Linked DNA regions of Sus scrofa. The protein of the gene in region 1 interacts with the protein of each later gene in a pairwise test. Links are inferred from orthologs where the notes say so. Each region holds a gene or a part of one and is shown in the gene's direction. Other genes may lie near its edges. The genes, in order: PAK5, FAM212A, FHL3, TUBGCP4, UXT, CARD9 and PDLIM7.

Region 1 (3,500 bases):
CAACCACATCATTACCAAGCCATGTAAAATTCAGCCATGATGATACTGATGAGACACAGAAGTGTGGTCATAGCAGGCATTACAGTTACACACTCAATAAGGATATCACATTTGATCACAAATAAAACAAGTAATCTTCACGCTGTGCCCTATTTATAGCTCAGAAAGTTTCTTCCTCTTCTATATATGCTGATAACTTCAATTATTATGTATCTTCCAGAAAAAGGTAACAGAAATGTTGCACCTCCAAGTATTTACTATTCAGGTAACAATGTTTACTGATTTTGCAAGTAATCTGGATAATGAATGACAAAAGATAATAAATACACCTTTCATAACCAAACAATTTGTAATCATCAGCTTATTGTTAGATAGGGTTTATTATTAAGTAGAGGAACTCATACTGGTAAATAAACAGTGATATCCTATGTATACTTTTCTAAATAGCTTTTTAATGTTTGATTTCTCTATTGAGTCAGGTAAGGAAACATTTGCTATATGAGATTGTTATTTATTTGATTTATTTCACCACTAAAATCAATCAACAGATTTTTCTCTTTTTCTTTTTTAATGAAATGCTCCTCGTTTAAATTGGATGGAGTGGGGGTGGGATTCCTCCGTCAATAGGAAGGCGTGGGGAGTTCTTATTGTGGCTTAGTGGTAACAACCCGACTAATATCCATGAGGATGTGGGTTCGATCCCTGGCCTCTATCAGTGGGTTGAGGATCCAGCATTGAGGTGAGTTGTGGTATAGGTAGCAGACAAGGCTCAGATCCCACGTCGCTGTGGCTGTGGTGTAGGCCAGTGGCTACAGCTCCAATTCAACCCCTAGCCTGGGAACTTCCATATGCTGTGGGCATGGCCCTAAAAAGAAAAAAAAAAAAATTGAAGGCATGAAACGTTCCCTTTAAAGCATGTTCCCTTATTATTCCCAGACAATTGTCAGAGGAAACAAACCCTGCAAGGAGACCTCCATCAACGGGCTGCTAGAGGATTTCGACAACATCTCGGTGACTCGCTCCAACTCCCTAAGGAAGGAAAGCCCGCCCACCCCGGACCAGGGAGCCTCCAGCCATGGTCCAGGCCATCGGGAAGAAAACGGCTTCATCACCTTCTCACAGTATTCCAGCGAATCTGACACCACCGCTGACTATGCCACCGACAAGTACAGAGACAAAAGTCTCTATGGAGACGATTTGGATCCGTTTTATAAGGGCGGCCACTCGGCCAAGCAAAATGGGCACGTCATGAAAATGAAACCTGGGGAGGCCTACTATTCTGAAATGAAGCCTTTGAAATCCGAGATAACCAGATTTCCTATCGACTACCACGCACCCTTGGACTCACTGAGCAAACCAACTGAGTACAGTGACCTTAAGTGGGGGTACCAGAGAGCCTCCAGCAGCTCCCCTCTGGATTATCCATTCCAGTTCATGCCTTCCAGAACTGCAGGGACCAGTGGGTGCTCCAAGGAGAGCCTGGCGTACAGCGAAAGTGAATGGGGACCCAGCCTGGAGGACTATGACAGGAGGCCAAAGTCATCATACCTGAGTCAGACGAGTCCTCAGCCCGCCATGCGGCAGAGGTCACGGTCCGGCTCAGGGCTCCAGGAACCCACGATGCCCTTCGGAGCTAGTGCTTTTAAAACCCACTCCCAAGGACACTCCTACAGTTCCTACACCTACCCTCGCTTGTCTGAGCCCACTATGTGCATCCCAAAGGTAATGCTCACCCCCTCCCTCCCTCCAGGGTTTACCTTTAAGTGGGAATCCGTATAAAATTCTACCTGATTTCCACCCATGAGCCCCAGGAGCAGAGACTTTAAGGCAAGGCACATGTATTCATTAAAATCAAAGCCTTTGGAGGAGCTCCTACAGGGTTTCTGGTTAAAAAGCAAAAAAAAAAAAAAATTATTTGAAAAATATTCTGATGTACTCATGATTATATATCCTCATATGGCACTAAGTCCTGTGTTAAGGAGCATTCAGTTGTAGATCATTATATGCAGTAGCATGGTGGTTCCTGCCTCTGCTTAAGGTTATGTGGCTCTGCCGACAAGGAAAAAGAAAGCAAGATAATGTGGTAAGTTTTTAACAAAGTTAATTGCATTCTACTCAAGGGATGGTTCTTCATTTTGAGCTTATGTCTTTCTACTGTTCCGTATTGAAATGTCATTTTTCTCTATGACTCTTTGAGGTGGTAGATAGAATCTGGTTACCGGACCATTTTCCATGTAGTTTTTAATGTTGTTTTGTCTTATTGTAATTCCTCTCTTGGTAATTTTTGTTGTTGTTGTTAGCTGCTCCACATTTGTTTTGAAATGTGGTTGGTCCATGACGTCCCAAAGTTTAGGAACCGCTGCTGGAGAAGTTACTGACTTTGCAAAGTACCTTAGGGAGTATGCTGGGGGAGTGTTTTCCTTAGTAACTTAGAGATGTTTTTGCCACCTCCCCTGGACAGTAAAGTGAAAATGGGGCATTTGGAGATGGGCTCTAGGTTACAGAGCTCTCAGACCAGTTGAGAGAGACTTGACTTCCAGTAGCATGATCACGGAGGTTTACACCAAATACTGTCTCTTCAACAGCTTGGTAGGCCTCACAGCATACCCTGGAAGGCAAGCCTGCCTGCACTCATCTAGTTGGTTGATGTCAATAGCCATCCTTTTTCCTTTGCTTCTTATTTCTCAGAAACCCAATCCAAGATGTTGAAGCCGTCTAGGGCTATGCTGGGAGTGACTTATGCCATACAATGGAAAAATGAAAAAAAAAGCTATCACTCTAACTCCCAATATATAAAATTAAAAATAAATTCTTGAGGAAGTAAAGACCTGAAATATATACCTCCAGTTAAAATTTAAATATTGAGAATGTTTCCCATCTCACCGTGGTATTTATCTTAGTTACTCCCATGGTCTTGCCTTTACTTTCCAGAGCAATGGTTGGAAAGAGGTCTAATTAACAAGCAGAGAAAAGCTGTAGGAAGCCATATGCATGTGTGTCATGATGCATAAGATCATTTATTCGATTTCCTGTGCACATCACTCCACCGAGAGAACCCCTTCATGGTTGCAGAGAGAACTAAGCAAATTAACACATTCTGTAGCTAAATTTAGTTGCATCTTCTGGTCTTTGAACATCAGGGGCTACTTTAGGAATAAAGAATGTGATTTTTTTTTCAGCTTTGCTGAGGTATAATTGGCAGAATTGTAAGATATTTAAAATATACAAGATGATGATTTGATCTACCTATGCATTGTGAAAGGATTCCCTTCATTGAGTAAAAACATCCATCACTTCCCATACTTACCTTCTTTGTGTATGAAAACATTTAAGTTCTACTCTCTTAGCCCATTTCAGTTATACACTCTGGTGTTATCAACTGTAGTCACTACATTATACATTCTATCATTAGACTTTATTCATCTTATAGCTGAAAATTTGCACCCTTTTACCAACTTCTTCCCTTCTTTTCACCCCAGACCCTGTCAACCACTTTTCTA
Region 2 (4,266 bases), on another chromosome or scaffold:
CCGGGCCATGCTGCTCAAGGTCATCTGCAGCAGGTGGGCAGTGCCATATGGGACCTAGGTTCTCCATTCCCCTATACTACCGCTGGCTTAATGAATTTAGTGTCCACCTTTATTTCCCCAATGTCCCCAGCTGTGCCCGTGACCCTACCTTGCCCACATAGATCCCCTGCCACCTGGTGAGGCTGGGTGGGTTGAAGAAGGTGGTGGGTGGCTTCACATGGAGCAACTCCAGGGTGGGTGTGTGTAAAGAGCAGTTGAAGGAGAAAGAGTGAAGGATGGTGCCAGGTCCCTGGCTCTCAGAGACATTTATGAACCAGGGCAGGCAGTGATGATCTGTGAGGAAGAGACAATTCAGGCTGGAGGCTCTCCATGTTCAAGCAACCATATACACAAGCAGAGTCCTTCCCTTCTGCCTTAGGGCCTAGCCACATCTTGGGGACAAGCAGAAGTCTTTCCTTGTCTCTCACATCTAACCACAAGTCAGATCATTTCACAGACTAGGAGTGAGAACTTGGTTGAAGAAGAAGCAAAGATAAGGAATGAGGGCCAGAGGTTCAGATCTTTGTCCTTTCCTGGCTTCCTTCCCCCAGCCCCTGCCCTCCATGGGAGCTTATCTGAAAGGGGTCAGGACTCCACTGTGGAGTGAGGGAGGTGAGAACTAAAGTCCCCCTACCCACCAGCTCCTCACCAGAGACAACCAGAGCAAGAAGAAGCACCAGGGACCTGAGCAGCACCATAGCGGCCTGAAGATACAGACAGCAGAGGAGACTCCAGAAAGACAGACGTGTTTTTCAGGCCTGCCCCGTTGCCAGGTCAGTTGCTCAAACACAGCTGAGCAGGCGGTACTCCTGGGCCTCCAAGATTCTAGCCCCACCCATCCCTGGTGACTGAGTTCTAGACTCTACAGGCATCAAGAGGTCTGGAAATACCCATTTTTTTCACTGCTCCCAATGAATTCCCCAATTTATTACTACAATTTTGAAACAGACGTGAGAGAAGAATCAAGTTTCAGATGGGGAAACTGAGGCTCAAGGAAGTCTTGGTCACACAGTTCTTGGAGACAGAGTAAGCACAGGACCCAGGAAAACTGGGCCCAGGACCTGCTACCCCATAGCGTCTGAACTCTAGCTTCCCCCCCCATTAGAATATCACCTGCCTATAAAATCTGAGCCCAACCATCAACAAAATCTCTCAAAAGCTGTCTACATTCAACAAACAAAAGGTATCCTTGGCAATAGAAGCAAAAATAGTGGTTACTTTGGGGGACATCAACTGGAGGGGGCAAAAAGTGGCCTCCTGCCCTTACTCTCAGTGTGTATGTGGTGCCAAGCAGAGGGAACGTGAGTGTCGCGGCAGGAAGAGCAGATAACCGCGCGCTGCCCACTAGAGGGCAGCCCCGCCTAGCTTCGTACAGACGCGGGGGCTGGGCCTGGGCTCCGGCTGCTACTCCGTGGGGGCGGTGAGGTTCCGCGCTCCCGGAGTCATCCAAAGGGCCGAACCCCTTCCTGACTTCTAAGGACTGTCGAAGCCAGCCCCATGAACAGATTGAGTGGGTCAGGCCCCAAGTGGGCCACAGCACTGTCGGATGCGACTACTGGGGGCGCTCTAGCCGCGTGAGGGCGCAGCCACGGAACCCGCGCGCTGCAGGGGCCCCTGTGGGAGGGACCGCAATTCTAACCCGGGAAAAATGGAGAAGCTGAGGCTACCTCAGGGAAGCGGCTTGTCCTGAGTCTTGCAACGAATTCGGAGTCAGCTCAACCGCCCAGGACTTCGAGGACTCGGAAGCAGGACACTGCCCAGCTCTCGGCCCCTGTTCAGCCCCTCCCCCCCAGGGCTGTTGCGGAGTGGGTAGTGGGCGTCGGGTTTCCCACCCAGCTGGACCCAGGGGGCGGGGCCACATCAGCCCCGTCCCAGCCCCATTGGCTGCGGCGCCAAGGGGCGGGGCGGGGCTGCCAGATGTTGGGGCGGTGGCTGCTGCTGCGGCGGGAGCTACGGAGAGGGAGGAGCCGCTGAGCCTGGCGGAGGGCAAGGGCTCCGCTGGCCGGCCTTCCCGGCCCTCACCGCACCGCTCCTGCTGGAGTTCGAAGAGCAACTGGCAGGCCTGGCGGGGGCTCCGGCACGGGCATGCACAGCACTCGGCTTGACAGCTTTCTTGGCCAGCTCCGCTGGGAACTGGTGAGGCTTGGGAGCGGGTGTGGCTCGCTAAGACGCTTGTGGGGTGCTCGGCTGCAGTCCGGCTGGAACGACACATGGGTGGGGGGCTGTCCCGAGTGCCCATCCAAGGCAGAATGGGGGCGGGGCGGCGCAGATGGCCCACGTCGGGTTTCAGATGGTTGAGAGCTGCGCTGGGCATCAAGTAACAACCACCCAGCTGGCTGTGCTGTGCGCGGCAGAGGAAGTTGGGGGCGGGGGTGGAGGGAGAAACTTATTTGGGGCGGATGGGGGGGGAGGGCTGCGAGGGACTAAAGTGGTGCCGGTGCTGCTGTGAAAGCTTAATCCAGGCTGGCCTGTACCTCTGTCCTCTGCACCCCACCTGGCACGTGGTCTATCCTCTGAAAGACGTTGCGGGCTTTGGGGAGCCAAATCCCTAAAGAGGCATGGAGTGCCCCCCCCAGCCCTGAGCAGTCCTACTTCCCGATGTAGGCCCACAACACTGCCTCCCGCCCCGATGGCGGGTACCAACTTGCCCAGCTCAGCGTGCTGCAGCCTGCCAGACTGCCACCGGGTCCGCCAATGGAAGCCACATGAGCTTCATGTGCCAGCACCCCATGCCGGCCTTGTGCCCACTAGGGGCCTTGCTGCCTAGGCCTGCAGGCCTATCCAGCTCTCCTAGGCCTTCTGTTTTGGCATAGAACTGGCCAGGCAGGCAGGCATGAGAAGCACTGCCCCTCCGACTTCTGCCCTCTCTTCCTCCACAGCTGTGTGGCCGGGACACAGGCTCATCCCCCATGCCTGGCCCCCTTCCACCACCCCCCAAACCCGATCCAGGCGTGCGGCCCAAGCACCGGCTCAGGGTCTCAGATTCAGATGCCTTGGAAGAGGACTCAGTCTGTGGTGTGGAGGAAGAGGAGGAAGACGCTATGGTGACAGGAGACAGGGGTGCAGCCTTGGGAGGCCCCAGGGAGCATGCCCTGGACTGGGACTCTGGATTCTCAGAGGTGTCAGGCAGCACATGGAGAGAGGAAGAGCTGCCCATACTCCAGCACCCAGCACCCCCAGTATGGCCCCCTCATAGACAGCACCTCTCAGCCAGTAGCATTCCCCTGCCCAGTGGGGCTCCTGTGACCAGTGCACCACCTGCCCACCGACCACGGCCCAAGTCCACCCCAGATGCCTGCCTGGAGCACTGGCAAGGGCTGGAAGCTGAGGACTGGACAGCAGCCCTGCTGAGCCGAGGTCGCAGTCGCCAGCCCCTGGTGCTAGGGGACAATTGCTTTGCTGACTTGGTGCACAACTGGATGGAGCTGCCAGAGGCCTCAGGTGAGGGGGATGATGGGGGTGGGCCACGAGCCCGTGCTCGCCCCCCCCAGTTCCTACTTGGTCTCTCAGAACAGCTGAGGCGCCAGCTGGCCAGGGCACGCCGGGCAGCGCTGGCAGGAAAGCGACTCTCATGCCCACCTCGCCCAGAACCCGAACTGCCTACAGATGTCTCGCGCTTTGCAGCCCTTATGAGTTGCCGCAGTCGCCAGCCTATCATCTGCAATGATGTTGTCAGCTACCTCTGACCCTGCCCTCCAGCCTGGGACAATAAAGGCCTTTCTCTGGACGTCCTGGTTCCATACCCCTGAGGTTCCAGGAGGCAGCCTCAGACCCACAAGGCACAATTCAAGCAAATCTAGAGTCTTTTCCCTCCCAGCAGGGGTCCATGTCATGCCTGTGTCCCACCCCCATGTGCCTGCTCTGTGTTCCATCATCCATCCTGTCCACTTACACCTTCCTTCAACAAGCATTTATTGAGCACCTACTGTGGGCTTGGGACGCAGGGCTTGACAGAGCTGGATAGTGGGGCTGCTGCCTTTTCACAGCTCATAGTGCAAGGGTGGGAAGGCAGTGTCCTCCTCTTCACCCTCAAAGCTGAGCTCCAGTACAAGCACCCGCTGCCCAGGCTCAGGTGCTCGTCCTGTTACCTGCTGCACCAGATCTGTCACCCTGGTGGCAGGAGGAGGAGAGGGGTGGGAGAGAGATGGAATATGTGAGCAGTGGCAGGCAGAGAATGTCCTGGCATGGACTAGAGGGTGCTGATGGGCTATAAGGATCCCAGGCCAG
Region 3 (4,087 bases), on another chromosome or scaffold:
AAGTACTTAGAGTCTGGTGCAAAGTAAAAACTCAGGGAATATTGGCTCTTTGTGAGTAAAACCAGAGACCAGCCCCTCCAACTCTGCCTTTGGTCCAGCACCTTCCTTATTCAGTCATAACCCCTTCCTTTCTGAAGGCTGTTGACCTTTGCCCTCCCCTCAGCCCAGAGCAAACCCCTTCTTTTTTATTTTTTTGCTTTTTAAGGCCGCATTCACAACATATGGAAGTTCCCAGGCTGGGAGTCAAATCAAAGCTACAGCTGCCAGCCTACACAGCCACCACAGCCACTGCAACAAGGGATCCCCGACTCACTGAGGGAGGCCAGGAATCAAACCCACATCCTCATGGATACTAGTCGGATTTGTTTCCACTGTGCCACAACTGGGAACTCCCAGTAAACCCTTTCTTGCCCTCATCCAACCAGGCAGTCTTCCCTGCACTCCCCAGGGCTGGGAGTCTCCTACACCTGCAAGATAAGTTCCAGAGCAAGGGTCAACACAGGCACTGGCTGCTTCCTCCCCGGACTCCAGAAGCATATGCCTGCAGTCCAATCCGGGCACCTAAGGGTCCAATGACATGGAAGCAGTGTTTGTCACTCATTCATTCATCAGATATTTATTAAGTGCCAGAATCAGAAGGACCTGGTCCCTGCCCTCATGGCCCTTACAGTTTAGGCATGAGGAACAATGATAATTAACAAGCAGTTAGTTAATTTTGAAAGGAAACCTGGCCTCCAGGGTGTCTTGGGGCCCTCAGGCAGGCATGGGATTCAGAGGTTGGAGAGGAGGGTACTCAGGAGCCCCAGCCTGGGAAGGAATGAGTCTCTGCCCAGGGAGCTTGTTTGGACCCAGCCTGGGGGATGGGAGAGCCTCTCTGGGCACCTGAACCTCTACTCTAGACCCTGAGGTTATTTCCAGGGTTGGTTTGTTGTCTCTTGTTTTGCAAACAGCCCAGCAGAGCCTCCTCCTCCCTCCCCAACCCTTCCAGACCATGGCTATTTATTCCTAGTGACAAGCCTGAGGATCCCAGGGGGGTTGGCCTCAAGGACCTGGAGGGGCCTTGTGTCCCTGGCAGGCGCCAGTCCTCCCTCCCCGCAGGGCAGGACCCAGGGAGGAAGCCAGAAGGTTAGAAACTGCAGAGGTCGGGGAGAAGAACTTCTCTCCACCACCCCTGCAGCGCCCTGTCCATGCACACTCCTCACACTCCTTCCTGAGAAGCTCAAAAACCACGGGGGGGGGGGGGAAGGATTAGGGTATCCCCTGGGCCTCAAAGGTCAAAACTATTCCTGGACACAGTGAAAACCAAGGGAGGATTTCTCTGTTCCACCATGCAGCAGGAGGTGAGGAGGTGGTTACTCGTTTTCACGCTCAGGGTGGGAGAATAAAGCCCTTTGAAGGTCAAGGCCCTCTGGAGGGGGTCCTTGCTTCACTCCTGGTTTCCGCGGAACACCTAGGTTCCCACTTACAGAGCTGTGACAGCAGGGCCAAGCCCCCAGCCCCACCCCCAGGCTGGAATGAGTCCTCTAGTACACCTTCGGGCAGTGTGATCCCTGGGGGTAAACTGGGAGGGGGCGAGGACACGAAGAGGGCATGAGGTCCCCAAATGGACCTTGGTCGGCTGCCTCCTGTATCCTTTGCCCGAGATTGAACACAGCTAACCGCTGGGGGTGGGGGGGGGCCGGGAGAGGGGGCGAGCAAGGAGGGAGGACAGCAAAAGCTGCAGGGAGGGGACAGGGGCGGGGTCCTGGCCGCTCGGGAAGGTTGCGAGAGCCAGGTTAGGCCTGGAAGGCCGAGGGGGCTGGGGCTGGCTCCGATCTAAAAGGGAGGTGGGGGCGGGGTCTGCCCCCCTCCCCAGCCCCTAGCCACGGGGACCTGGGGCCGGGGGCGGGGTCCGCACCCCGCGGGCAGGGGCGGCCGGGGGCGGGGTCCGGGCGGGGCGGGCCCCAGCGCTCACTTCCTCGAGGAGGGGTTGGGGCCGCGCTCCCACTCGCCCACACAGTCCGTGTGCAGCCGGCAGCCTAGCCGGTAGCTCGCTCGGCCCCGCTCGGCCTGGCCCGCAGGTAGGAGCCGCCGAGGGACGCGGCCCCGGCTGCCCGGCCCTCCCTGCTCGAGCGCCGCGCCTCGCTCCCGCCGCCCGCTTCGAGGTGAGCTCCGCGCCGAGCCCCGCTCCCCATCCCGGCTCCCGGCCCTCGCCCTCGGGCGGGAAGGTAGAGGCGACCCACCGGGGGTTCAGAGCAGCCATGGCCCCCGCCTCTTGCCCTTTGCCTCCGCCGGGGTCCGGCCGCGGGCGCCAGGGACGCTCTGGGAGCCGGTGGCGCGGGGGCGCCGAGCCCTGAGGGGCGCCACGGGGACCGCACCGCCCCGGGCCTCCTGGCGGGGCGGGCGCTGCTACGCGAGTTGGGCGGGGGAAGGGGGCCAAGTTTGAAATGGAAAACCAGCGTCGAGAGCTACCGGGAGGGTTCGAGAAACCGGCTTCCAAAAAGCCTGGTGGAGCCAGAAACCGAGACAGCATAAGGAGTGACAAGCTTGGAGAGGAGGCTGCAGAGATTCCCGAAACAGGGACAGAGACTTGGGCGTAGAGTCACCGGGAGGCAGACCCGAGGCGTAGGGACCCCTCCGAGGTTTTGTGGAGCGGAGCATTTTAAGGAAAAGCATGTAATGACCCCAGAGGTGTTGTCGGCCTTTCCCAGAGCCTTGGAAGGTTCTGGGCAAGTGAGGGGCTCCAAAGCTTAAGCTTCATTAGCCTCGTGGTAAAGCAGCCTTGGAGAGGCCTAGAAAGATCCAGAGTCTAGAGTCGGAGACACTCAGGCATAGAGATGCTAAGAGATAGAGAAGGACGGTGGGGGAGGACCAAGACATTCCACCTTTTAGAGACATTGAGATGCCAAGGCTTGGGTGGACGGAGGGAGAAATCCACCGAGGCTGTCGTTGGGAGATGGCCAGTAGAGATACAGAGACATGGAAACATAAAGACAGCTGCCAAAGTGTGCAGACACAGACGTGCTGAGTGGAGCAGAGCTAGACATCAAGAGACAGATGTCATGGAGGCACAGTGACAGCTTCCAAGACAGACCCACGGGACTCAGGCCCAAAAGACTGGGAAGTGAGGATGTGGGGAGACAGAAACTCTAGACCAGTCAATCCCCCATGAGGATCTGAGACAGTAAGACACAGCAAGAAGGAGCCCCATGCAGTCCCCCAATCAGCTCCAACTTATTTTTAAACTCAAATCTTGGGCGCACTGCTTCAGTCCAGGGGGACCCGGGGTGAATGAACTGTTCCTTTCTGTCCCCAGAGCAGCTGCTGGATCCTGCTTCCCACCCCGCCTTCCCCCAAACCGCTCTGACTCCCAGCCCTCATGGGGGGAGGGGAGAGAGCCCGGAGAGTTTGGGGTTGATGCCTAGTTGGGGGGGGAGGGAAGAGTTTGGTTTCTCCCCTCAAGTCTCTTGTGAGCTCCTGTAAGCTGGGGGAGGGTCTGTGCTGATTCTGAGTCACAGCTGTGGGACCTGGCCAGGGTCCTCCTAGACATTGTGGGGGGGAAGGGCAAAGGGGGTTGAGCGGTTGGCATGGGTACTTGGAAAGGCTTCTGGGTGTCTTCCAGTCACAGGGCTGGCAACTGGGGAGAAGAGCCAGGCTCCTGTCCCAGTGATATCACCTAGCATCTCCTGTCCCCCTGCTCTTAAATGCTGACCACCCCCTCAGCCACTGCAACATTTCTAGGGAAAGAGAAACGGACTTCAGGCTGAGAGGCAGGGGACCTAGGATCTCATACCAGAGTGACTTTGGGCATGTCTCTGCCCTGTCCCTGGCCGCCGTGCTCAGCTGTAAAACGGGGATGATGTCCTATCCCGCCTGCCGTTTGGGAGATCTGATTGGTGGTGGGTGGGCGGCATTGCACTTTGTGAGAAGCCAAACAGCACGCTAGTGTCTACTCTTCTGTACCTGTGTTGGAGATTTCAGAGTTACGCTCACTGGTGTCAGACCTGCCCCCACTGGTCTTAGTGAGCACCACGCCTGGGTCTCTTTAACGGAGAACTAAGGCTTTCCCTCCTTGTTCTCTCCCTGAGCCCACCACTGAGAATGTCAA
Region 4 (3,147 bases), on another chromosome or scaffold:
AAGGACTAGTTTAATGTGCCTCAAGCGGAGGTTTCGTGCAGGCTGACCAAGAGGACGGCAGTGTCTTTGCCCAAAAGGGAAGTTTTACACACGTTGCATTTTGAGGGGCCGGCAGAACTTGCACTTTTTTTTGCGGAGGTCAGATGTAGAGGAGGGGAAGAGGGTAGCTCTTATTTTCCCAAATCTATAATTTCACAGGTCTATCTATTCCTTTTTCCTCCTAATGTCACCTGTTTCCTGTATAGGTGTTTCACTGCCTGAATGAAATCTTAGACCTCTGTCACAGCTTTTGCTCACTGGTCAGTCAGAACCTGGGCCCCCTGGATGAACGTGGGGCTGCCCAGCTGAGCATCCTGGTGAAGGTGAGTGGGCCTGGTCCTTGGAAGGATGGAGGTGGTTTTGCTGATGGGGCATCATGATCTATTCCTCTGAGTCAATTTAAGCATTTCCCCAATACAGACACACAGAAATAACAAGATACAAAGATTTTTAAAAAATGTTGGTATCAGTTTTTGAAGCAGATAATTATGTGCTGCCTCAGCGATCAAATATTGTTCAGTCCTGAACAGTTTATTCAGCCCACCAAACATGCACTGGCTTTGTTCTTACTTTTTAACATCCAACCGCCTTACTTCCTTGAACTAACCTGTTTCACTGCGATAATTCTCTGCCTGTAACAAAAGCACAGGCTCTCCCCCAGCCCAGTACACAGCAGCATCTATCAATCTGAAGCTGGCTGCTAAATTCCTACTGAGAATGAGAGTATTTTCACAGCAAGTCATGCAGTCTATGCACAAAGAAGTCATTTTAGGAGCTAAAAGAAATGGGATGTGGGAAGGCCAGTTGGTGCTGCAGAATTTTCAGCAAGATTTTTCCAAGGAATACCCCCTGCCCCCTCACTCCACCTGGACAGCTGGTGCGTGTAGGAGGAATGACAGCTTGAGTCCTTCTCTCTGCAGGGTTTTAGCCGCCAGTCTTCACTCCTATTCAAGATTCTCTCCAGTGTTCGGAATCATCAGATCAACTCTGATTTGGCCCAGCTACTCTTACGGCTAGATTATAACAAATACTACACCCAGGCTGGTGGCACTCTGGGCAGGTAGGAACAAGCACCTTGGGGCTTAGTAGACTCTGTGTGGCTTTTTTAATGAGCGGTGGAATTCCAGAGCTGGAACTTCAGCCATCATTTAGTCGAAATACCCTCGTTTTATAAACAAGGAAAGTAAGGCTCAGAGAGAAGAGGGGCTGTGTTTGATCATCAGTGAAGATGACTGTCCAGTAAAAATCATCATCATAGTAAATTACTAACACTCCTAAGGCCGAGATGGATTTTAAGTTCTTGGCTAGGTAGTGCATTGCTGTGCTGGAAGGCAGCATGGCTTGAATCCCAGTTCTGACACAAACCAGCTGCCCAGCCTTGGGGGCCTCCCTGCCCTGACTCTTGCCTCACTGATCCCCAGCTTTTGCACTGAAAGGATACCCTTTCTAACTCTCAACTGTTTTTTTAATCTAACGGCGAGATTCAGTGGTAGTGGCTTCTCTGAGGTCTGTCTCACTCAAAAGCACTTAATATTATTCTCCTTTCTCTCTCTGATATGTTGAGCAGATTTCTCCTAAGTAAATTTAGCAAACAGTTTTAAGATGACATTATCTAGATCACAAGTTGTTGCCCTGGCTCATTATTTCTCTGAAGAAAATCTTAGGGAAGCATATTATCAAGTGGCCTTTTTTCTTTTGTAGTTTCGGGATGTGAGAATTTTGGTCCACAGACAGAAGTCAGTCAGTCTCACCGTGCTATAGCTGTAACTGAGGATTCAAAACATCCCGTCCTCTGGCCAGGCCCATACATCTGCAGCCTCCCGCAACAGCTCTACCTTTTCTCCTAGAAGCAGTTTTTGAACATCCATGGATACAAATGCTTCCCCTTGTTCCCAGGTAGAAGGGGCATGGGCCCCACCTCAGAGCCATTCTTAACTCACCACCAAGGAGGACTTGTGGCATCAGCTCTCCTTCTGCTGACCACACAAGATTTGATACACTGAGAACATTCATTGGATTCGTTTACTGAGCACCTGCTTGTGTGCTTAGGTACTGTTCAAGCTTCGAGAGACACGGCAGTAAGTTATATAATCAGAAAGTTAAATGGCTCATGTGAAAAAGGAATTATATTCAAAAATAGGTCAAATGCTGGATGTGACCACTCGGCAAGAAAGGCACCAGGTAAGACAGTCTTCTACACACCCCACAGAGCCCCTTTTCCTCCTTCAGAAATTGAAAGTGAGTTTCCTATCCCAAAGGATCTTCAAAACTGTGTCTGAATAGTTTTACCAGTAACTTCCAATTATTTCAGACTGGTAAGGGGGTAATTCTAGCTACAATGAGGTATTTAAAGCTTAAAAAAAAACTCTTTAAGAAAAAAAATTGTTAGATTTCAAATACCTAAAGATGAAGGTCTAATTATCCATCTAATTTGGCCCTGATCTCTCCATTTTCTACCACACACTGTACCCCTTCATTACCTGTAACTAACTGTCAGCTAACGATGACCCTCTCACTGCTGCCTCTGGAGCAGAGGTTGGCAAACTACGACCAACCCCCTGTCTTTGTAAATAAAGTTTTACTGGGACACAGCCCACACTTCCTTGCTTACCTGTGGTCTGTAGTTGCTCTCGTGCCATCATGGCAAAGGTGAGTAGTCATGACACACCAAGTGGCCCACAAAGTCTAACGCATTTACTGTTTGGTAGAAAAAAAAAATTTTAAGCCCCGCTTTAGAGCATGAGAGGATAGCAACACGAATGATGCTAGGAGTATGGAAGGAACAGCTTCCAGCAGCAGTGACAGGAATAAAATTTTGACCTTCTGGCTACAGCTGCTAACATTTCGATGGGTTTTTACTGTTTCTCACATTGATCCTAGCAGAAGTTTACACTCACCACCCATGCACAACAATTGGTCCTTTTCCCTTTTAGCTCTGAGAGCACAGTATCCACAGGTCAGCTGTTAGCTCAATTCTAAAGAGAGATTTCTCTTTCTAATTGCCAGAAAACTAAGAGCTGTGCCTAATTCCACTCAACTTTTGGCACAACTATTAATCTGGGCCCATTATAAAATCATGTTTTTGGAAGTACTGAATTTTAGACAGCC
Region 5 (2,745 bases), on another chromosome or scaffold:
GGACTGAAAATATAAATTTGGGGAGTTCCCTGGCGGCCTGGTATTTAAGGACCTGGTGTTGTCACCACTGTGGCTCGGGTTGCCACTGTGGCACAGGTTCTATCCCTGGCCGGGGAACCTCTGCATGCCCCCACCCCAGCCAAAGAAGAAAATACAAATTTGGGAGATAGTGGAGTTCCTGCTGTGGTGCAGCAGGATCGGCCACATCTCTGCAGCACCAGGCTGCAGGTTCGATACCCAGCCCGGCACAGCGGGTTAAAGGATCCAGTGTTGCTGCAGCTGCAGCATAGATAGCAGCTGTGGCTTGGATCTGATGCCTAACCCAGAACTCCATATGCTGCGGGGGAGCCAAAATAGAAAAACTGGGGGGAGATAGTGATACATAAATGAGTTTACACTCTTTTTTTTTTTTCCAATTTAACATCCTATGTCGTTGCCTTCTACTTTTCTTAACAGTATTTAGTTTCCCCAAAACTGACTCTTACGTTGACAGGATAACTCGGCACAATAGAATCCACCTTCCTTATCAGGATATCAAGACCGTGCATGATCTAGCCCTTGCCTACCTCTTGGATCTTGTGCCACTTTCCTTCCACCATTCACTTACTTTCTAACACTGGCCTCCTGATTGCTCCTCTAGAAGCTCTTTCCGGCCTCTCGGACTTCTTGTGAAAGACTGTCCTGTTTAACTCTTACTCATTCTTCAGAAAGGCCTTCTTTTATCCTTTGCATCACTTAGGCTTCTTTTGGGTGAGCCTGGTCGCAGTTGGCTTAGATGTCAGGAGGTAGGAATGGGCTGGTTGGCGTAGCTCAACAGCCCAGAGCCAGAGTGGTCCCGCTTTCCAGTTGCTTTAAGCCTTGGTGTCTTCCTTGAGTCCTCTCTCTCTTGCATCCAACATCCTCCTTTGGTAAATCCTATTGACTCTACCTTCAAAGAAGTATCCCAGCTCCAATCATTTCTCATCCCCTCAACCGCTGCCACTGCGGTCCGAGTCTGCATCTCTCACCTGGACGATTCCGACAGCCTCTGCAGTGGCCTTCCTCTTCCACACCAGCTGTCCTTATCCCCAGTCGGTTCTCCACACAGCAGCCAGATGGATCCTCTGAAACCCTAGTCATTTGACCTCCCTTCTCTGATCACAATACTCCCCTTGCTCCCATCCCACTTAGAGTCAAAGCCAGAGTCCTCACCATGGCCTGGTAGATTTTACACGAACTATCTCCCCCACTTACCTCCGTGACCTCGCCTCCTCTACCTCCCCACTTCACTTTTTCTTCTCCAGCCACACTGGCCTCTTCGCTGGGCCTCAGACATGCCAGGTACGCGCCCACCTCAGAGCCTTTGCACTCTCCACCCCTTGTGCCTGGAACACACATCCTCCATATGTCCACATGACTCGCTTCTTTGTTTTAAGTCTCTACTCAAACGCTTCTCAGTGAGGCCATCCCTAAGCACCCTAATTCGAATTCCAGCCCCCACTCCTGTACTCCCATATCCTCTCTCATTTAATTTTTTTTTCATTATAATTTTAACCATCTGACATACTCCATATTTTACTCCATCATCTGTCCCCCTTAATGAGAATCTGAGCTCCAAGAGGCCGAGATTTTCGTTTGCTATGTCTGCTGCTATCTCCCCAGTACCTAAAACAACCTGGCATAGAGTAGGCATTCAGTAAAGGTCTTGGAATCAGTGTAGTGCAGATGGCGGCCAGGCATGTCTGCCTAGGAGCAGGCCAGGTAGTAGGGGTCCCACCACCTGCCGTGTGGAAGTCATCCAGGACTTAGGCGGTTCTTGAAGCGGTGAGGGCACATCATCCTCACGGATCCTAAGTGGGGCCCACCTCGCCCTTTCTCGTTTCTTTTCTCCAGGCTCAGCGACAGCCTCACCAAGGACTCCATGAATATCAAGGCCCATATCCACATGTTGCTAGAGGTGAGAGCAGCTCACCCCACTCCCAGACTCTATCTCCAAATATTTAGGGTGGTGTCCTGAGGAAGGGAGAGAGCCAGAGATGGGAAGGGCCATCTTTCCCTCCAAATGAGTCAGACAGGAACCAGGCTGGCTCTGAGGGAAGGGAGTTCCAAGCAAGCCTGAGGTGGGGCCTGGACCCAGTCTCCGTTCAATCTCTTCTGTTCTCTTTTTCAGGGGCTTAGAGAACTACAAGGTCTGCAGAATTTCCCCGAGCCTCGCCACTGACTTCTTCCTACCTCCCTTGACATTAAAGAGCCTGAATGTCTTTGAGTCACGTGGCCCTTCTTTCCCCCATTAACTTCTGCTGTTGGCTAAAGTGCCGTTTCTAAAGCACAATGTTACTGGGAGGCGCAGAGATCCAGTCTGTGTAGAATCTTTAAAGCACCACTGAAGTGCCGCCTCCAGCCTGTTTCCTGGCAGAATGTGCCACCTGACTTTCCGCTCTGCCCTCTCTACCATCGCCTTGGCAACCTGGGCCCCCACCTGACCCTTCTTTCTATTTCCTTTCCTGTGCACTACTGCTTGAATTAACCATAGAGAACGGGCCGATTCAGGGTGGCGGTTTGTTCCCTAAGGCAATCAACCTTTCACTCCTGGCCCTAAAGTTTACCCTTCTCCCACACTCCAATCGTTCCTCAGGTAACTTAAATTACACCCACGCCCGTCTAGGCCCAACCTTGGCCTTGTCCCAGCTTCTAAATAGTTACAGCTCCAGCAATGGGCGCAGGGCCGATCTCGCCCGCCCTCCCTGGTCCGGTCCTCATTCTAGG
Region 6 (4,161 bases), on another chromosome or scaffold:
TGCCCAGCGCGTCCTGCCCCTGCTCCCGCATACGGCAGTCACCGGGGCCCCCTGCACCCAGGTGTGACGCGTCACACAGGCCGCAGGCTGACGCCCCCTGGCAGGGGCGGGGGGTCCCTTTGCACCCGGGACTCAGTTAACCGAGTCCAGTTTTTCTCGCGACCTCCTCTGACCTGTGGGCTAAGTTTTCTTGTTCAATTTCCAAATGCTGAGTGAGGGTCCCGACGTCTCTGTGGCTGCTGCCTCGCCCAGAGCACACGACGTCTGCCTGAGCTCTAAGCCACGGGAACTGGGTCGTTGAGGGCCCGGTACCAGCCTGCCTGCTGGGCATGTAGGAGGCGGTGGCTCAGTCTCCTGCACCAAGTCCCCACCTGGCTTTCGCGGCTCCCGCAGGGGGCTCCCCATGCCCAGAGGGTGATGTCAGCTCCCCGGAAGGCCAGGCCACCACGCAACCCAGCAGTGCCAGGTCTGTGCCGGGACGCCCAAGGTTTCTGCGAAGTGGCCCGCTGACCATCCTGGGCAGAAGGCAGAGAAGCCCCCACACGGCCTGAGGCGTGAGACCCCACAGGAAGGGAGCTGGCCAGGCGGGAGGGAAGCTCCTCAGGAAGGGGGAGCCGGGAGCACCGGCCAGGCTCCCATCCAGCCCGTCCAGCCGCAGCCCCTTCGCGGAGCTGAAGCTGGCAGCTCGGTTCAACTGGCAAAGCTCCCCGGGCAGCGCGGTGGCCTGGGGATTCCCCAACCTGGCCAGGGTGCAGCTGGCAGCCAGGGCTGGGCTCCAGGCTTTGCCCGGCCTTCTGCAGCCCTTCTGAAGTGCTGGGGTGGGGGGCTGCTGTCACTGTCATGTGTCCTGGTGGAGAAGGGGTGGTCCCAGGAGGGGCGGGGCCGTGCCAGCCACAGCAGGCCAGTGTGCTGCGGGGCGCCTGTGCCCGGGGCCCTGTTTTGGGACACCACACCGCCCCCTCCTGGGACCAAAGTGGGCCAGCAGGGGCTCGAGCTCTGTCAAGCCTTGGCTCGCACTCCCCACTCCTCAGGGTCAGGGCTGGGCCTCCAGGGCGGGCCCTGGGCCCCGCGGCCAGCCCTGCGCTGGCTGGCAGGGCTCTGGGCAGCCTTCCTGGGGAGCCACTTCCACTTCCCTCCCCCGCCCCCCAGGCCGCCCTGCTCGGGCGAATCAGCAGCGGCCGCAGGGATGGTCCCTGCGGGGTTAACGCCAGGAAGTGCGCTCCCTCCCGCCCCACCCTCCCTGGCCGGCAGCCGCGGCAGCTCCCACCGCTCACACACCGGCTTGGCGGCCCAGGCTGGCCGGCGACCGGCCACTGCACAGGTGCCTCAGGAGGACCCCAAGGTAGGCTGGTCTGGTGCCCTTTCGGAAAGGCGGCGGCAAGCCCAGGTGGCTCAGGACTCTTGGGACAGGGAGAGGGATCTGGCGTGAACACCCCAGAAGGGCACCAAACGGCCTCACCTCTGCTGCCCCGTCCCCCTCGCAGCCACCTGGCACGGTCGCTTCGGTGGAATGCACAGCAGGTCATCGTCAGGCGTGGGTGCTGTGGACTTGAGGCTAGAAAGGCCGCAACAGGCCAGGTCCAGAGACCGGCCACCAAGGTGCTGGTGATTCCTCTGGACGCCGCGCCTGTCGCTAGGCGGGCGGGCCGAGGGCGGTGGGACCCACAGCCACGGCCTCTGGGATACCACGGCCTCTGGGACCGTGCCCCAGCCCCCGTGGCCCGGGAGCCGGTGTTTCCCAGGCAGGTTACAGGCTCAGTCCCAGGTGTTGAGGCGGGGTCTCTGTGCCCCCCGACCCCTCTCCCCCAGGAGGAGGCATGGCCACATGGCTGCTCCTGCTCAGCCCGCCCCAGAGCGTGGTCCCTGCCCACCCGCTGCTGGAAGGGCTAGCAGAGAGCAGCTTCCACGTAGATGGTCCCCTGTCAGGGAGCCAGCATCCCCGTGCTCAGCACTGTGGCCGAGGAGATGGGGAGAGCCCGGGGCCAGCTAGTGCCCAGCACCCAGAGCCTGGAGGAGGCGCGCAGCCGCGTCCTGGGCTGCCTGGGCGACACAGCTGGGCCCTCCCCATGTGCCCAGGGCCCTCCGGTGGGCTGCTCTCAGTCACGCTTCCTGGAGGGCACCACGTCCCTGGGCCTGACCGGAGCGGGCCAGCTGGGCAACTGTTGCATCACCAGCCACAGGAAGCAGAGGAAGGGATGGGAGTGGATGTGCGGGGGAATGAGGAAGTCCCGCGTGGCATGGCCTGCCGCCCGCAGGTGGGGGGCGCCCCAGCCGGGCGCGGGCTGGCCGGGGGTGGACCGGGACCCCTCCCTCATCTGCCGGGGAGGTTGTGCCAGCGCTCGGCCCAAACAGCTCCTGCTGCCCCCTCACCTCCAGGGAGGGAGGCAGCCTCCCTGCCCGCCCACAATGCTCGGGGAGGGGGATTCTCCCTGGGCACAGGCTGGGGGGGTAGCGTGGGGCAGGGGCCCAGGGTGACGGGGGCGGGGGAGAGGAAGCCCAGAGCGGCCAGAGGGCGGGGGCAGGGCAGGGCAGGGCGGCGGGCCAGTTGACGGGCCCTCTCTCGGAGCAGTGCGCCCGCCCGCACCATGTCCGACTACGAGAACGAGGACGAGTGCTGGAGCGGCCTGGAGGGCTTCCGCGTGAAGCTCATCTCCGTCATCGACCCCGCCCGCATCACGCCCTACCTGCGCCAGTGCAAGGTCCTGAGCCCCGACGACGAGGAGCAGGTGCTCAGTGACCCCAGCCTGGTCATCCGCAAGCGGAAAGTGGGTCAGTGCCGTGGGCGGCGGGCTCTGCCCACGCTCGTCCCTGTCCCCGGGAGGCCTGGCCGGCTCGGCCCCCGCCCCGCCCCCCCCATCACCAACCTGTCTGCCTGCGGCCGGGGCGCCGCCATGCACAGCAGAGGCCCCTGGGAGAGCCACACGAGGTGGGTGGCCGATGGGGACTGGCCCAGACCCACTCTGCGGCCACCCCGCGGGGCCTCGAGGGGCCACACGCGTGCCTGGGGACGCCGGCCGCCCCGGCCCCCAGCCAGGCCCATCTGGGTTGCAGGCGTGCTCCTGGACATCCTGCAACGCACCGGCCACAAGGGCTACGTGGCCTTCCTCGAGAGCCTGGAGCTCTACTACCCGCAGCTCTACAAGAAGGTCACGGGCAAGGAGCCCACCCGCGTCTTCTCCGTCATCATTGGTGAGGAAGGGCACCGGGCCTGGGGACCCAGGGCCCGGACTCAGGGGCCGGGGCGCCCCCCTGACCTGGGCCCCTAACGGATAAAGCGTGCATGCGCTCTGGCGGAAGGATACCGCCCGCCTGGGGCCCGCCCGCCCGCTCTCCTGCTGCAGCCCGGGGAGGGGGCAGGGGCCGGAGGGAAGGGGGACCTGAACTCCAGGGCGGGAGCAGGGGGAGGGGAGGCACAGGCTGATTCTTGGCTCAGAGCCCCCCTGCCCAGAAGACCACCTGACCCCACTAAAACCCTGCTCCCGAGAGGCCGCGGCAGCCGGAGAGGTGCCGCTCTCCTGGTCCTGAGTCGTGTCCCCTCGCCTCTCAATCAAGATGACCAAAGTGGACAAAGAGGGAGGGACACGTGAGCCCCTGGCTGCACCGTCCTGGGAGGGGCTGGGGACGGGGCCTGCAGGTGAGTCAGGACCAGACCCCTGGGCCGGGCTCCCCGGGCCGCCGGTCCTGGAGCCGCGCGAGATGCTGGGCTGCTGGGCGCGCCGTCTGATGAGGCCCGGTCCGCAGACGCGTCTGGGGAGTCCGGCCTGACGCAGCTGCTGATGAGCGAGGTGATGAAGCTGCAGAAGAAGGCGCAGGACCTGACGGCGCTGCTGGGCTCCAAGGACGACCTCATCAAGGAGCTGCGCGTGAAGGACGGCCTGCTGCGCAAGCACCAGGAGCGCGCGCAGAGGCTCAAGGAGGCCTGCGAGGCCGGCGGCCGCGAGCTCCAGCGCTGCAAGGACGAGAACTACGACCTGGCCCTGCGCCTGGCCCGTCAGAGCGAGGAGAGGGGCACCGCGCTCATGCGCAACCGAGACCTGCAGCTGGAGGTGCCTGGCGGCGGGGCGGCCGGGCGGGCGGCGGGCGGGCGGCGGGCCCCCGGGCTGGGCTGACGGGCGGCCCCGCAGATCGATCGGCTCAAGCACAGCCTCATGAAGGCCGAGG
Region 7 (4,237 bases), on another chromosome or scaffold:
GAGTCAGAAGGTGGAATCTACAGAATCTGAGGTATGACACAGATGAGAAAGGAAGGAAAACTTCATGATTTTTACTGGCCTAACCAGATGAACACTGTTTTTATTTTTTTTCCTTGAAGTAAGGAAGGAGTTAGGGAGGTGGGGAAAATGAAAGTTTAAATTAGGAAGTAACTGGAATTCCTGTTGTGGCCTTGCTGTGGCTGTGGCATAGGCCGGCGGCTATAGCCTGGGAACTTCCATATGCCCCTGGGTGCAGCCCTATAATGAGAAAAGGCCAAAAAAAAAAAAAAAAAAAAAGTGAAAATTCTTACAGTTTATATTATGAGGGGAATGATGCAGAATAGGGGGAAATGTAATGATGATGGTGGAGGTAGGAGAGTAGCCACAGCCATGCCCTAGAAGGAGGTGAGGGGTGGATGCCCATCCTGATCCCTGGTCAATTTCCTCCCACTGCGCTAGCATTGGGGCTGTGGGGTCTGTGAAACCCCCACTGGAGGCGCTGCCCACTCTGGAGTGGGGTACCAGGACTATCTCGACAGTTTGGGGGTCAGCCCTAAACCTTCGGAGGGTCAGGGGGTAGGAGTGAGGGCAGGGCATAGGGTCGGGGCGGAGCCAAAGGCCTTTATACCTCTGTCTGCTGCCTTTGGTGGAGTGTTCTGCAAACTTAACTGTAAGCTCCCCCTGTGTCGACCTCAACTAACCCCACCTCCAAGGTTCACCCCCTCCCTCTTCCAGACCAAGTCTGTCCGATTTAGATATTCCTTTTGTGTGTGTGTCTTTGTGTGTCTTTTTGCCTTTTCTAGAGCCGCTCGCCGCAGGAGCGGCATTATGGAGATTCCCGGGCTAGGGGTCTAATCGGAGCCATAGCCACTGGTCAGAGTCACAGCAACGTGGGATCCAAGCCGCGTCTGCGACCTGCACCACAGCTCACGGCAACGCCGGATACTTAACCCGCTGAGCAAGGCCAGGGATCAAATTTGTTAACCACTGCGCCACGACGGGAACTCCCGATTTAGATATTCTTGAGCTATCAATGGCTGTGCCTTACGCCAAACTATGCCTATCTTCACGGTGGCCTGTGAGGCGAGTATTACTGTCCCACTTTCCCAGTAGGAAACTAGGGTTTAGAGATGACTCAGGTCCAGATCTGCCTGGTTTGCTTGGTGACTTGCTTTTCACTCGGCCAGAGGGAGGCGCAAGGGGCTGGGCGAGCCGCGGGTTGGGCTGTCCAGCAGCCCAGACCCCCCCACACCCTACCCAGGCCCCGCCCCATTAAGGGGACCAGGGAGAGCCTTGCCTTACAGCGCAAAGAGAGACCGGACTTCGTGATTGGGCGGTACGGAAGGATTCGGCGGGGCTTCCTACTGCCTGGGAGACTGCTCATGGGCTCAACTTTTGACGGAGGCGTGGCCACAGGCCACGCCCCCTCCAGCGGGCTCATAACTGATGTCTGCGGCGGGGGCGGGGCCAGAACGCGGGCGGCGGATCCCAGCGCGGCTCTCTGGAGCCCGCTGCTGAGCAGCGCCCCGGAGGGGCCGAGCAGGTACAGGCGACTGTGCGGGGCGTTTCGGGCTGGGCCAGGCGGGGGGGCAGAGGCCTGTTAGGGGCCACAGCGGGCACTAGGGGTCGTGGCCAAAGCTGCGCTTCCTCCGGCGTGCGGGAGCCGCTACCCCCGCCCCCGCCTTCCTGAGGCGAAGCCGGCTGCGGCGGGGCCGATTGGCGCCTGCGCCGCTTCCTGCCCCCGGGACTCGGCCAATGCATGGGGCCGGGGCGGGGAACCAGGGGGAAACCGAGTCACGTCAGGAGGGTAGGCCTGTGGGGGAGGCATCACCCCCACTGAACTCTAGGATGAATTCCCTTCCTGGCCACGCTTTGAAGTCCCAGTCCCCACCGACCTACGCAGGGGCCGCGCACCCGCCCAGTTCCCCCAGCGCTCAGGGGTCTCGCCCTGGGTCACGGCAGCTTCGACTAGTCCGGGAATGGCTAGTACCCGCTCCAGCCGCCTCCCCCCCTTCCCCTCCCCCTCGCGTCCCGAGCCCCCGTGTGTTCCCTCCGTTGGCTCTCCGCACAGTGTCAGCTTACACGCCTTATATAGTCCGAGCAGGCTCCAGCCGTGGCCTGCCTGCCGGGACCTGGGGGCGGGGGAAAGGAGGAACGCCGGCCCCGGACTGGCCTTGCCGTCTAGTTCCAGGCTCAAGGATGGCTTGGGGGGAAGCCAGAGCCAAATTAGCCCTGCGATCCACTCCTGGATGAAAAGAATCTCAAGGCTGGATTCGGGCTCCCCTCACCCACCCTGTCCCTTGGGGAAGGGGGGTTGCCGCTGCCTTTCCAAAGTGAAGTCTGCCAGCTAGCAGCCCAGCCAAACTTAACAAGTTACCCTCCTACCCTTGCCCTGGGTGTGCTCAGCGTCTGCTCGTGCCTTCCTGGCACTAGTCCAAGCCTGATGTCCAGAGCTAGGCCTGCCTGTGTACCCACCATGCCAGCTGCTCACCTTTTCTCTCCTCTCAGGAGCGGCACCATGGATTCCTTCAAGGTGGTGCTGGAGGGGCCAGCACCTTGGGGCTTCCGGCTGCAGGGGGGCAAGGACTTCAATGTGCCCCTCTCCATCTCCCGGGTGAGCCTAGATTGAGGGAGGGGCTCCCCCAGGGGTCTTGGGGTGCTCAGATCTCCAGTGGGTGACAGAAAGAGCCTGAACAGGAGTGAGCCACGGCCGGTAGGCCAGGAGGTGCCCAGGTCCAGATATGTGGGCACTGCCACGAAGACTACCAACCTAACTAGGGAGATACTAGGAGAGGAGCCCCCACACTTCCCTAGCACTGCACTGTACCTGATGCTGTTCCACGAAGCTCCTGTGGCCACCTCCAAGGCCCAGGGGGATGCCCATTCTGAGGTCTCCAGGAAGTGTCTAAGCTCCTTGAGAGAGCAATGCTTGGAGCTAGGCCCCAGGCAGGGCTCTCTGACTGCAGGATCTCACTTCATTCTCACTGCCACCCAGGGAATAGCAACTGTCATCCTGTTTTTCCAGATGAGCTAACTCAGGACTCGGAGAGGTGAAAGGGCTCCTTCAGCAACTCCGTGGCAAAACAGGGATTGGAATTCAGCCACAGGGATGGCCAGCAGTCTGTGTGTGTGAGGGGTGCCTCTCCCCGGCCTGTGTGAGGACCTTCCATCCCATCCACTGGTCCCATTCAGGATGGAGTGGGCTTTGACCCCAAGCAGGGGTTGGGATGGGTCTCTAGGACTCTGACTTCAGCTTCTGAGATCCTGTCCTGGTGGGGGTGGAGCTAGGGGCCGGCTCCTCCCTGTGGCAGGGGGATTGCCTTATAAGCCCAAGAATGCAGCCCCACGCAGGGATGGCCAACTGGTGGCTGGAGTCTGCAGGGCTGAAAAAGGCTGGTCTGGGCCTGGACCCCTGACCACATCAGTGGGCCCCTCAGCTCATCGCCCCCAGGCTGTGGCTCTAGCCATGGGATCGGCCGTGGGACATGTAAAACAAGCTGCCTGCCCTGAGAGAGAGTCCAGCCCTTGGGCTGGTATCTCTCACTGTGGTGGGGGGTGGAGGGTGGGTTCAGGAGGAGGTGGGGACTTCCTGCTCCCATATCCGCTTATCCAGAGAGACCCACCCAGGCTCCTGGTGGGCAGGCAGCTATTGGCAGGAAGCCCAGGGCAAGCACAGCCTAGAGGGGGCCGGAGGGTTGTCCAGCCGCAGCTGAGCTCAAGGGGGCCCCAAAGCAGAGTCTGTCGGAATTGGGCTTGGTGGCCAGAACAGCTAGGCTGTCACTGTTCTCAGGGATCCTACCCTGGGAGCTGCGCTGCCGGAAGGGTAGCTAAGGGCAGTGATCTCCCTACCACATATACCCACCCTGTACACAATTCTCGAGTCTCTCCAGCCCTGGAAACCTCCCCCTGTATACCCCTTCCCTGGGAAAGTGCTAGCCAGTGTGACTGGGTAGCTGTAGGCCTTGGCTTGGCCTCTGAGCCTCAGTTTCTTCCTTGGTGAGGATGGGCAACAAAGTAGCCTAGGGGATGGACTTTCAGATGTGGCCTGCTGGGGGCACCCTGAGCCCAGGCTCCCTTGTCAGCAGGCCTAGCATGTGGGTGGGGCCACCAGCTGAGCCCAGCCCTGGAGTTGGACCTAGGCCCTGGTGGGTGGGCGGGTGTGTAGGGTGGTCTTTTCTGAGCTGGGCCCGCCCTCTCTCCCTCTACCCTGACCCCAGCGTGGAGTGGGGAGGGAGGG

Evidence for each region.
Region 2: the proteins of PAK5 (region 1) and FAM212A interact in binary tests that used the Homo sapiens proteins (3 or more experiments, as listed by UniProt). The two-hybrid records come from large-scale screens. The link is inferred for Sus scrofa from reciprocal best matches to the Homo sapiens genes PAK5 and INKA1.
Region 3: the proteins of PAK5 (region 1) and FHL3 interact in a two-hybrid assay, tested with the Homo sapiens proteins (2 studies listed by BioGRID and IntAct). The two-hybrid records come from large-scale screens. The link is inferred for Sus scrofa from reciprocal best matches to the Homo sapiens genes PAK5 and FHL3.
Region 4: the proteins of PAK5 (region 1) and TUBGCP4 interact in a two-hybrid assay, tested with the Homo sapiens proteins (2 studies listed by BioGRID and IntAct). The two-hybrid records come from large-scale screens. The link is inferred for Sus scrofa from reciprocal best matches to the Homo sapiens genes PAK5 and TUBGCP4.
Region 5: the proteins of PAK5 (region 1) and UXT interact in binary tests that used the Homo sapiens proteins (3 or more experiments, as listed by UniProt). The two-hybrid records come from large-scale screens. The link is inferred for Sus scrofa from reciprocal best matches to the Homo sapiens genes PAK5 and UXT.
Region 6: the proteins of PAK5 (region 1) and CARD9 interact in binary tests that used the Homo sapiens proteins (3 or more experiments, as listed by UniProt). The two-hybrid records come from large-scale screens. The link is inferred for Sus scrofa from reciprocal best matches to the Homo sapiens genes PAK5 and CARD9.
Region 7: the proteins of PAK5 (region 1) and PDLIM7 interact in a two-hybrid assay, tested with the Homo sapiens proteins (2 studies listed by BioGRID and IntAct). The two-hybrid records come from large-scale screens. The link is inferred for Sus scrofa from reciprocal best matches to the Homo sapiens genes PAK5 and PDLIM7.

The regions. Positions count from the first base shown.
Region 1 is NC_010459.5:18,502,870-18,506,369, reverse strand, and holds part of PAK5 (serine/threonine-protein kinase PAK 5), read left to right. Parts: intron 1-936; coding exon 937-1,722; intron 1,723-3,500.
Region 2 is NC_010455.5:32,328,402-32,332,667, forward strand, and holds FAM212A (PAK4-inhibitor INKA1), read left to right. Parts: upstream 1-1,470; 5' UTR 1,471-2,124; coding exon 2,125-2,175; exon of another isoform or gene 2,176-2,237; intron 2,238-2,918; coding exon 2,919-3,725; 3' UTR 3,726-3,766; downstream 3,767-4,266. Other genes in the region: CDHR4 (cadherin-related family member 4), read right to left, coding at 1-24, 149-333, 689-737; UBA7 (ubiquitin-like modifier-activating enzyme 7), read right to left, coding at 4,020-4,149. UniProt on the Homo sapiens protein: Inhibitor of the serine/threonine-protein kinase PAK4. Acts by binding PAK4 in a substrate-like manner, inhibiting the protein kinase activity.
Region 3 is NC_010448.4:93,985,769-93,989,855, reverse strand, and holds the start of FHL3 (four and a half LIM domains protein 3), read left to right. Parts: upstream 1-1,287; 5' UTR 1,288-1,328; coding exon 1,329-1,340; intron 1,341-1,990; exon of another isoform or gene 1,991-2,144; intron 2,145-4,087. UniProt on the Homo sapiens protein: Recruited by SOX15 to FOXK1 promoters where it acts as a transcriptional coactivator of FOXK1.
Region 4 is NC_010443.5:128,028,893-128,032,039, reverse strand, and holds the end of TUBGCP4 (gamma-tubulin complex component 4), read left to right. Parts: exon of another isoform or gene 1-245; coding exon 246-362; exon of another isoform or gene 363-959; coding exon 960-1,099; exon of another isoform or gene 1,100-1,740; coding exon 1,741-1,753; coding exon of another isoform or gene 1,754-1,800; 3' UTR 1,801-2,647; downstream 2,648-3,147. UniProt on the Homo sapiens protein: Component of the gamma-tubulin ring complex (gTuRC) which mediates microtubule nucleation.
Region 5 is NC_010461.5:42,175,642-42,178,386, reverse strand, and holds the end of UXT (protein UXT), read left to right. Parts: intron 1-1,872; coding exon 1,873-1,936; intron 1,937-2,149; coding exon 2,150-2,200; 3' UTR 2,201-2,245; downstream 2,246-2,745. UniProt on the Homo sapiens protein: Involved in gene transcription regulation. Acts in concert with the corepressor URI1 to regulate androgen receptor AR-mediated transcription. Together with URI1, associates with chromatin to the NKX3-1 promoter region.
Region 6 is NW_018084833.1:1,342,072-1,346,232, forward strand, and holds the start of CARD9 (caspase recruitment domain-containing protein 9), read left to right. Parts: upstream 1-1,361; 5' UTR 1,362-1,911; coding exon 1,912-2,255; intron 2,256-2,569; coding exon 2,570-2,769; intron 2,770-3,051; coding exon 3,052-3,189; intron 3,190-3,741; coding exon 3,742-4,046; intron 4,047-4,124; coding exon 4,125-4,161. UniProt on the Homo sapiens protein: Adapter protein that plays a key role in innate immune response against fungi by forming signaling complexes downstream of C-type lectin receptors.
Region 7 is NC_010444.4:80,451,576-80,455,812, forward strand, and holds the start of PDLIM7 (PDZ and LIM domain protein 7), read left to right. Parts: upstream 1-1,437; 5' UTR 1,438-1,543; intron 1,544-2,508; 5' UTR 2,509-2,518; coding exon 2,519-2,614; exon of another isoform or gene 2,615-4,237. UniProt on the Homo sapiens protein: May function as a scaffold on which the coordinated assembly of proteins can occur. May play a role as an adapter that, via its PDZ domain, localizes LIM-binding proteins to actin filaments of both skeletal muscle and nonmuscle tissues.